2 linked regions of the Oryctolagus cuniculus genome follow. The protein of the gene in region 2 interacts with the protein of the main gene of each other region in a pairwise test. Links are inferred from orthologs where the notes say so. Each region holds a gene or a part of one and is shown on either strand. Other genes may lie near its edges.

Region 1 (3,649 bases), on a different chromosome or scaffold from region 2:
TTCAAACTTATAAATGTTTACTTTCTAATAAAACAGTTTCATTAAAACCATGGTGAAAATCTAATTTCATTCATTTTTTGTTGTTCTGGCTAATCCTTTCAGGTTTGTGACTGGTTGTATCCTCTAGTTCCTGATAGATCTCCAGTTCTGAAATGCACTGTGGGAGCTTACATGTTTCCTGATACAATGCTGCAAGCAGCAGGATGCTTTGTAGGGGTCGTCTTGTCCTCTGAGCTACCGGAAGATGATAGAGAGCTCTTTGAGGATCTGTTAAGACAGATGTCTGACCTTCGACTCCAGGTAACTTGAGTGATTATCTTTAGGATGAAAATCTGCTTTAACATCAGCACTTCTGCTTTTAAAGACGTTGTAATAACCTCTAATGTGATCAGAGTTAGGAGACAGAGTATATAATTTGTATGTTCACAACTATATGTTGGGAATTTGCTGTAAATACTGTTTAACTTTGTGGGTTCTGGAATCAAGTTGCCTGAGTTTGGATTCAAACTCTTCTACTTAATAGTTATTTATTAACTCAACTATTACTGATCATCTCCATACTTGAGTTTCCTAATCATAAAATGTGGATACTACTAATAACGTCCACCTCATTGTACTATGGTGAAGATTAAAAGTTAATCCATTAGGGGCTGGCATTGTGACATGGTTTAAGCCATGGCCTGCAGTGCTGGCTTGCCATATGGGCGCCAGTTTGAGTCTCGGCTACTCCACTTCTGATTCATCTCCCCGCTAATGTGCCTGGGAAAGCAGCAGAAGATGCCCCAGATTCTTGGGCCCTTGCACCTCTGTGGGAGACCTGGAAGAAGCTCCTGACTCCTGGTTGGCCCTGCCCTGGTTGGTCGTTGGGACCATTTGGGGAGTGAGCCAGTGGATGGAAGTTTCTCTCTTTTTCACTGTCTCTCCTTCTCTCTCTCTTTCAGTCTGACTTTCCAATAAACAAATATTTTATTTTAAAAAAGGTTAATCCATTAAACCATTTTTTTCAATGCTAACAGATTAAAATGATTATCTGTCATTTTCTGTTTACTTCTTGGTGGGGAAGGGGGACTGAATGGTGAAGTGAAGGTAATTTTAGCACATGGCTTATATTGGACATTTTGGGAATATGATTGGCATTTTGAGAAAGAAACATGTTTTGTTTGAGAAAATCATCTTTTTCTGGTACATGAAGACCAAATATATGGAAAATACAATGAGATTTAAAAATAAGATCATCCTGTGAACTTTAGCCTTTTCTCTGCCCACATGCTTATTTGTCACAGGAAGTTCTAATAGGTTGTTATGAAGAGGCTTTCTTTAGGTGTTCTGCCCATCCTACCATATGGTAAGAAGAGTGGAATGTTTTGATAATGATTAGTGACAGTTATCTGAGGTTGAGTGAAACTGACAGCATGATAGCATAAACTTGTATTCTCTCCAGTCAGTAGGTGTTTGGAATCTTTTTTAACCAAACATTAACTGCTAACATGGTGGGATGGGAAGAGTGAGAACATGAGAATAAAACAATTTATAGAATAGCTTCTGTTCCCAAGTATGTGAGCATGACCTGGTGATCAACAAGCCAGTACTCTAGGACAGCCAGCAATAATTTAATCTGTGTTAACAAAACACATGAATTGCCACACAGAAGTGTGTAGCCTCAGTGTGCTCATGGAGAGTTCAAAGGACATGGTAAAATGCATCTGGATTCATCTTAGTTTTGCTGTGTACTGAGTGAAGTGACACTCTAGTGTGGAGCTACTTCTCCTTTCATTCATTGACCTGGTTTTGTTGAGCTTTAGGAAAGAAATTAAATAGACTTTTACATTAATGTATATGTTTTGTCTGTTAATTTTATTTTAATTAACATGTATTTTTAGTTGGCTCTCTTGTCTCAGAAATTCAGCCAGAAATAAAAGCTAGTTATCGGCTATAGTTTTTACTTTAAAGCATCATTTAGCAGAATATGTACTTGCAAAGTACTTTAATGCAAAAAACAAAGAAAAGCAAAATAGGCTTTCAACAATGCAGAGTAGTTAAGACCTAAGTTTTGCTAATTACCCTTAAGCTTGTTTTAGTCATATATAATACATATGTGTTTCCTAAAATTTATTATCAATTATTTAATTAAATTCAAATGTAGTTGCATCTGATTTAAATATTACTTACATTAACAACTGTTTTATGTTATCTCTTATACTTTGACATTTATTTTAAACCATGTTGTCTGAACCAAAGAACTCAGAGGTTTGTCAATTGGTGATCAAGATGAAACAAGAGTTTAGGGATAGAAGTATAAGTGGTTGTTATTGACAATTGAACAAGTGTGTCACTAAAGCATAACGCAACACATCCGGAGAAAAGAAGTCTGAGAAAATTCTGGTTAATGCTTAGCTTAGTCCTTCACTCCTTAGGCCAACTGGAACAGAGCAGAAGGAGAAAATGAATTCCAGATCCCTGGAAGAACAAGACACCCTTCTGACCAACTGAAGGAAGCCTCTGATACTGATGTGAGACAGTTGGGTCCTACAGACCAAGGCAGTAAGGATGTGCGTCTTAAAGGAAAACGTGGAAAAAAGGTAAATAAAGGAGCAGTGATAGTGTGTTCTAGTACCTTTCATCAGTTTCATGTATTATACGATCTTTTCCTCATCTACTAGAGCAAAGAACTTAAGAAGTGAGATGAGTGACATAGGCCTGTATCATAGTGCTTATGAGTTCAGTTAACCCTCACTTTACTAATATTGGCTCCAGAGCAAAAGACTTGGTTGGAAATTTGGATATGCCAAAGAGGAGCCGTAGCGTTTCCTCCAAGAGAAAAAGTGAAAGTTCTGGACTTAATAAAGAAAGAAAAAAAATCTTATGCTGAGGTTGCTAATGTGTCAGATAAGAACAAATTTTTGGTTTGTGAAATTGTGGAGGAAAAAGAAATTTGTACCAGTTTTGCTATTGCAAAACATTCTTATAATTGTTCTATTTTTATCATTGGTAATCTTTTGCTGTGAATAATTGTTAAGTAAACTTGATCATAGGCTAGTATGTGTAGGATATATCTATATCTGTCTGTCTGTCTGTCTATTTGGGACACAGAAATCAGTACTACCTGGTTTCAGCATTCACTGGGGGCATTGGAATGTGGAGAAACGAAGACTACCACTTTCCCTGTAATTTGGCCAACAGAGTGGGTACTCAGTCTTTCTGTGTTTGGGCAGTCTGATAGATCAGAATGATGTATTAAAATATCTAAATTTGTGTTGATTTCAGTTTGAATAATGTTGAGCAACATGCTTAAAGTTTCTTTGAATTTTGTGTTCTGTATATGGTCTTTTCATAACCTTTGTCTATTTTTATGAGTGGGTTGTTAGCCTTTTTTTTCTTCTCAGTTTCCAGGAGCTCGTTATAACTTAGAGATATTGGCCCATTGTCAGAAGTTGCAAATATTTTACCCAGTTTGTCTCTAGATTTTACTTGTGTGTTATTTTTCCTTCCATGTAGAAGTTTTAGTTTGTTTAAGGTGTGTGTATTTAAGTGAAATTCTTTATATTTCTTTAAGCACTTTGATTTTTGAGTTAGTTTATAACTCTGTTAGGTCTGAGCTCCTAAGTACTTAAAATGAATTAATTTAACTTTGAGATTTTTGGTGCTAACC
Region 2 (4,434 bases):
TATCTGTTATAAGCAAAAGACCTCAGAGCTCAAATATTGCCTATCCATCATCGTATGTGTGTCACCACAAAAAAATTGTTAGCCTTTCAGTAAAGGGGCAACTCCTCATTAAGAACATAATTGAGTAACTACAGTTCACAAAGCACCTTGGAATCAAAGACACTATAAATTTACAATACTAGTCTTCTATTAAGTTAAATAAAGCAAAGAACAATAACTTTAAATAAAACATCTTATAGCCCAAGTGTACTATAAAAAAGTAAAAAATTCACTGTGGGGATTTTTTTTTTTAGAAGAGATTTTTCCTCTATTAGGGAACCTGGATCTAAATGAACTGCTAAACACTTAGTCTAAAGGTATGCCAAACATTTCTTAAGGTCCTAACAAAGAATCAACTTTTTTTTTTTTTTTTTAAACAAAACGAGGCCTAGGTTAAATATTTTATTTGGCTTCTCAAGATGGACTGAGAAGTTGGGCACCAGCTCCAGACCAATTCCTGGACGCACATCAAACACAGCCCTGTCATTTATCCAGTCAGTCAAAACAATCTTTTCCATCTAACCCTTTAATGTTTATGTCCTAAAAAGCTGCTAATTGAATCCAGCTCTTGAAATCTATTTGTTAAAATCTATACTGTCTAATTTGTAAATGATGAACTAAAATGAAAAATATATATATATGTTAACTTTCCTGGCAAAACAGAAGAGATTCCACCAAATGTAACCACAGGGGAGGGCAATATTTTTAATATCTGTCAAATTTTAAGAGAAAACTATTCAGAAATTCCCAATGGTTTTCAGAAATTGAGAGTACCTCAAACTGTTTTTACAATTAAGGGGACAAAGGGTATTTAAAATCCCTCAGAACAATCTAAATATACAAAATCATTCTATAAATGTAGTCCAACATTCCCTCTGCCCTGAAAACAAATTAAGTGTAATCTTTCCTAACAAATCTAATTTTACTCAATTTTTAGAATGTATCATGCAATAAGGAAACCACAGATAAACACTTTATGACCTACTGAATCATATTAAAAATCTCAAAACTCACGTAATCCGCAGAAAATCAAAATCCCGATTTCCCTCCCCCCCTCCATTTTCTATGTACGTGTATACAGCCCAGAGGGAAGTCAATGGCAACAGCCCATTTCTGATGCTTTGTGCACATCTGGAAGCACAGGTTCCTTCGATGCTCACTGACTCCAGATAGGAACAGCAACAGATACCTCTGAAGCAACAATGATTCCTTAAAGGATTTCCCACAATAAAGAAACTCAATGGAGGAAAGGAAGACAAGCATCCTTCAAACCAGATTTTTCCATTAAGAACCACTCAGTTAATGGCTCTTCGCAATTTTCCCCAAGGAAGGCAAAACTTTCATGGAGGTAATATAGTTTTAAAATTGCAGGCAACTCAGGCTAACTTCTCCAATACCAAATTCACTGCAGGTTATTATCTAGAAGGTTCAGCCAGTGGACTGGAAGGTGACACACAGCATTCAGCTACAAAATTAGTCCGTATAAATCTCAAAGTCTAGTGTGGGCAAACATAATTACAGTTTATTCTGAAGCGCGCGGGCGCACGCGCAGGTGCCCGTGCACGCACACACACACATACATACACACACCAATCTAAGGAAAACCAAATTTCTCACCACACATCCAAATATAAACGTGTTCAATTCATTAACGGTGAAACTAGAATGATGACACACTGATTTCAACTACACGTTCCCAAGCAAATATAATTTTTTTTCCTTAAAATGGGGGAGATATGTTGATATAAGAAAACCAGAAATAGCTCTATACACAAAACGCACCTGTAATAAAGATTTCACGCACCTGGAATCAAACACTTTTTAAGACTAGTCTTCTATCTAGCAAACCCCTATGGACATTCTTTTCCATTTAGAAAAGGGAAAGGGGAGGGTGGGGAAAGTGAGAGAAAGTTCCCTTGAAAGTTGTATGAGTACACTTAGCCAAGTACCCTCGCCCCTTTAAAAAAAAAAAAGTGTTTAAGGCAGGTCTAGAGTTAGCAGGGAGCCACAAGTCCTGCGGCCTACAAGGAACAACTCAAAACATGCTACCCTACAATCAAACACTTCCAAAACACAGAGCGTACAATGAGCCAGAGTCGTGGGATCAGCCAGACACACCGGAAAAGCCAACCTCAGTCTCCTTCCCTCCCCGAGCCGCGCGGTCAAGGTGTGTGGCACGGCCGCCGGGGCTGGCAGCCGAGCGCGGAGGCTTCGCACGCGGGCACACAAGTTAAGAAGCCAGGAACGAACGCGCGCGCACACGCGCACACACACACACACACACACACACACTCACACTCACACCCTCCCGTTAAGCGCTCCATCTTTAAGGAGTGTTTACTGCGCGCAGCAGCAACCGGATTCAATAATCCCCTCCACGACCCCACCTGGGCAGCCTCCCGGGGCCGCTCCCCGAAGCCCCCGGATTAGAATCGGACCCCCCGGCCGACACTCCCCGACCTCCCAACTCCGCCTGCGGTTCGAGCCGGCGTACCCCTCCCTTCCACAAAAGACCCCCCGACTCACCCTCGGGCTTCCCAACCCGAGCGAGTGCTTTTTCCAACTACCTTCTCTGAACTAGGCCCTCCCACGCCCCCGGCCCCCGACTCACCATTGATCGCGACCCTGGCCCTTCCCAAGGCCACAGGCACCCCCCCGCCGGCTCGCCCACCTCGCGGCCGCCCCGGCCGCCCCCCCTCACCTGTCAGGCGCAGCTTGACGGGCCCGTTCCGCCGGCCTCCGGGGTTAGACATGTCCCCGGCGGCGGGGACGGCCGGGGCGGCGGCGGCGGCGGCGGGGCTCCGGGCCGGCAGGCGGGGCGGGGGCGACGGCGAGGCGCGGCGACCGAGTCACCACAGCGGCCGGGGCTGGGGCCCGGGCAGCCGGCGCCGCGGCCGTGGCGGCCGGAGGGTCCCGGATGTGCCGAGCGTCGTCGCCATGAGCCGCGGAGGGAGCGGGACGCCGAGCTCCCCCCTCCTCCCACTTCTCCTTCCTCGGCCCGGGCCGCACAACAAAGCGGCAGCCGCGGCCGGCCGCGCCGCCTCCGCCCGCGCCCCCGCCGCCGCCTGGCAGTAGCCGCGGCCTTCCCCTCCGCCCCGCTCGGCGAGGCCCGGGAGCCGACGGGACCGGCCGGCCGGCTGAGGCGGGCGGTGCTCGGCGCGCCGCAGCAGGACTCAGGGCTCGGCCGCTTCCTCCTCCACCCGCCCTCTTGTCTGAGGGAGCCGGGTCCCGAGGCCGCCGCCACTCGTCGGCTTCGGGGGGCGGGGAGGAGATGGGGCGGGGGCGGGGCCGGCGGCGGGGGCGGGGCCGGGGCGGGGCGGGCCGGCGCGCGCCTGTGCCCGGGGCTCGGGGCGGGCGGCCTGGGCTCCGCCTGGGCGCGGGCAGGGGGAGGCGGGCGCGCCCCGCAGGCCAGGGTCCGACGGGGGTGCTGCAGGGAGCGGGCAAGGGGCCAGAGTGGCGCTGTGGCACCTAGAGGGGCTTCGTGTGCAGCCCACTTCAGGTAGAGCGTGTACCGGTGCAGGACCAGCTGCACTTATTAGACGCCTACTGTGTGCAGGGCGCTCGGAGAGAGTGCGGGTGCTGGGTGAGGAGTGAGTCCCCCGAAGTCAGCGTCTCCCAGGCGAGGAAGGATAACTTTTCCCACTTGCAGCGTCTCTGCAAACCCCCAGGAACTGCAGTTGCCACCACGGCCCAGCACTCACCTGATGGGCGAGATCAGGTTACCTGCTCGCTGTTTCTCCAGCTGCGGAGCGAGGACTGGGAGATAACACCAACGCCTTGAAGACTGTCACCCAGATCAACCTTGGACAGCTGTATATGCAAAGCCTTTTCAGTACCTTGTTTCGTTATCTCAGGAGGAAAAAAAAAAGTGCACCTTACACTTTGATCCTGCACTTGCACTACTAGGAATTTATTTTTAACAAATACAGAACAATACAGAAGACGTTCTTCACGACGTTTGGATAACAGCAAGAGGGGAGTGAGCCAAGGGCCTAACAGTGGCTTATATTACATCAGCCGAGTTTTTCTGGGTGCAGCCATTGAAATGGCAATTATGAAGATCCTTTCCTGTGCAAAAGTGGCACAGTGAAACGCACAAGGACAACAGCGCGGGGGATTTCTCTGTGTGCGCTTTGCTAGTTTACTTAAGGCTGTTCCATTAGTGGAATGTTCATTGTCTAATAAAATTAATAATTTTAACCCTAAATCAGTGTCAGTCATTGCTTTCAGTTCATCAGTGAGGTCAGTTGATTCTCCGGGGAAGTGACCTCCACAAACATTTGATCAGTCTGAATGCAGCCCTATAATTAAAGTGACCCAACAGACTAGAAATACAAGGGACAGCGCTAGAAATTCATTCAAAAAATACTGAGTGCCGAACTACGAGCAGGGCAG

What was found. The genes of interacting proteins can lie anywhere in the genome.
Region 1: the proteins of SMURF2 (region 2) and SPART interact in a two-hybrid assay, tested with the Homo sapiens proteins (2 studies listed by BioGRID and IntAct). The link is inferred for Oryctolagus cuniculus from reciprocal best matches to the Homo sapiens genes SMURF2 and SPART.

The regions. Positions count from the first base shown.
Region 1 is NC_091440.1:77,771,420-77,775,068, forward strand, and holds part of SPART (spartin), read left to right. Parts: intron 1-102; coding exon 103-300; intron 301-2,414; coding exon 2,415-2,579; intron 2,580-3,649. UniProt on the Homo sapiens protein: Lipophagy receptor that plays an important role in lipid droplet (LD) turnover in motor neurons.
Region 2 is NC_091448.1:14,048,245-14,052,678, reverse strand, and holds the start of SMURF2 (E3 ubiquitin-protein ligase SMURF2), read right to left. Parts: upstream 2,930-4,434; 5' UTR 2,793-2,929; coding exon 2,651-2,792; intron 1-2,650. UniProt on the Homo sapiens protein: E3 ubiquitin-protein ligase which accepts ubiquitin from an E2 ubiquitin-conjugating enzyme in the form of a thioester and then directly transfers the ubiquitin to targeted substrates.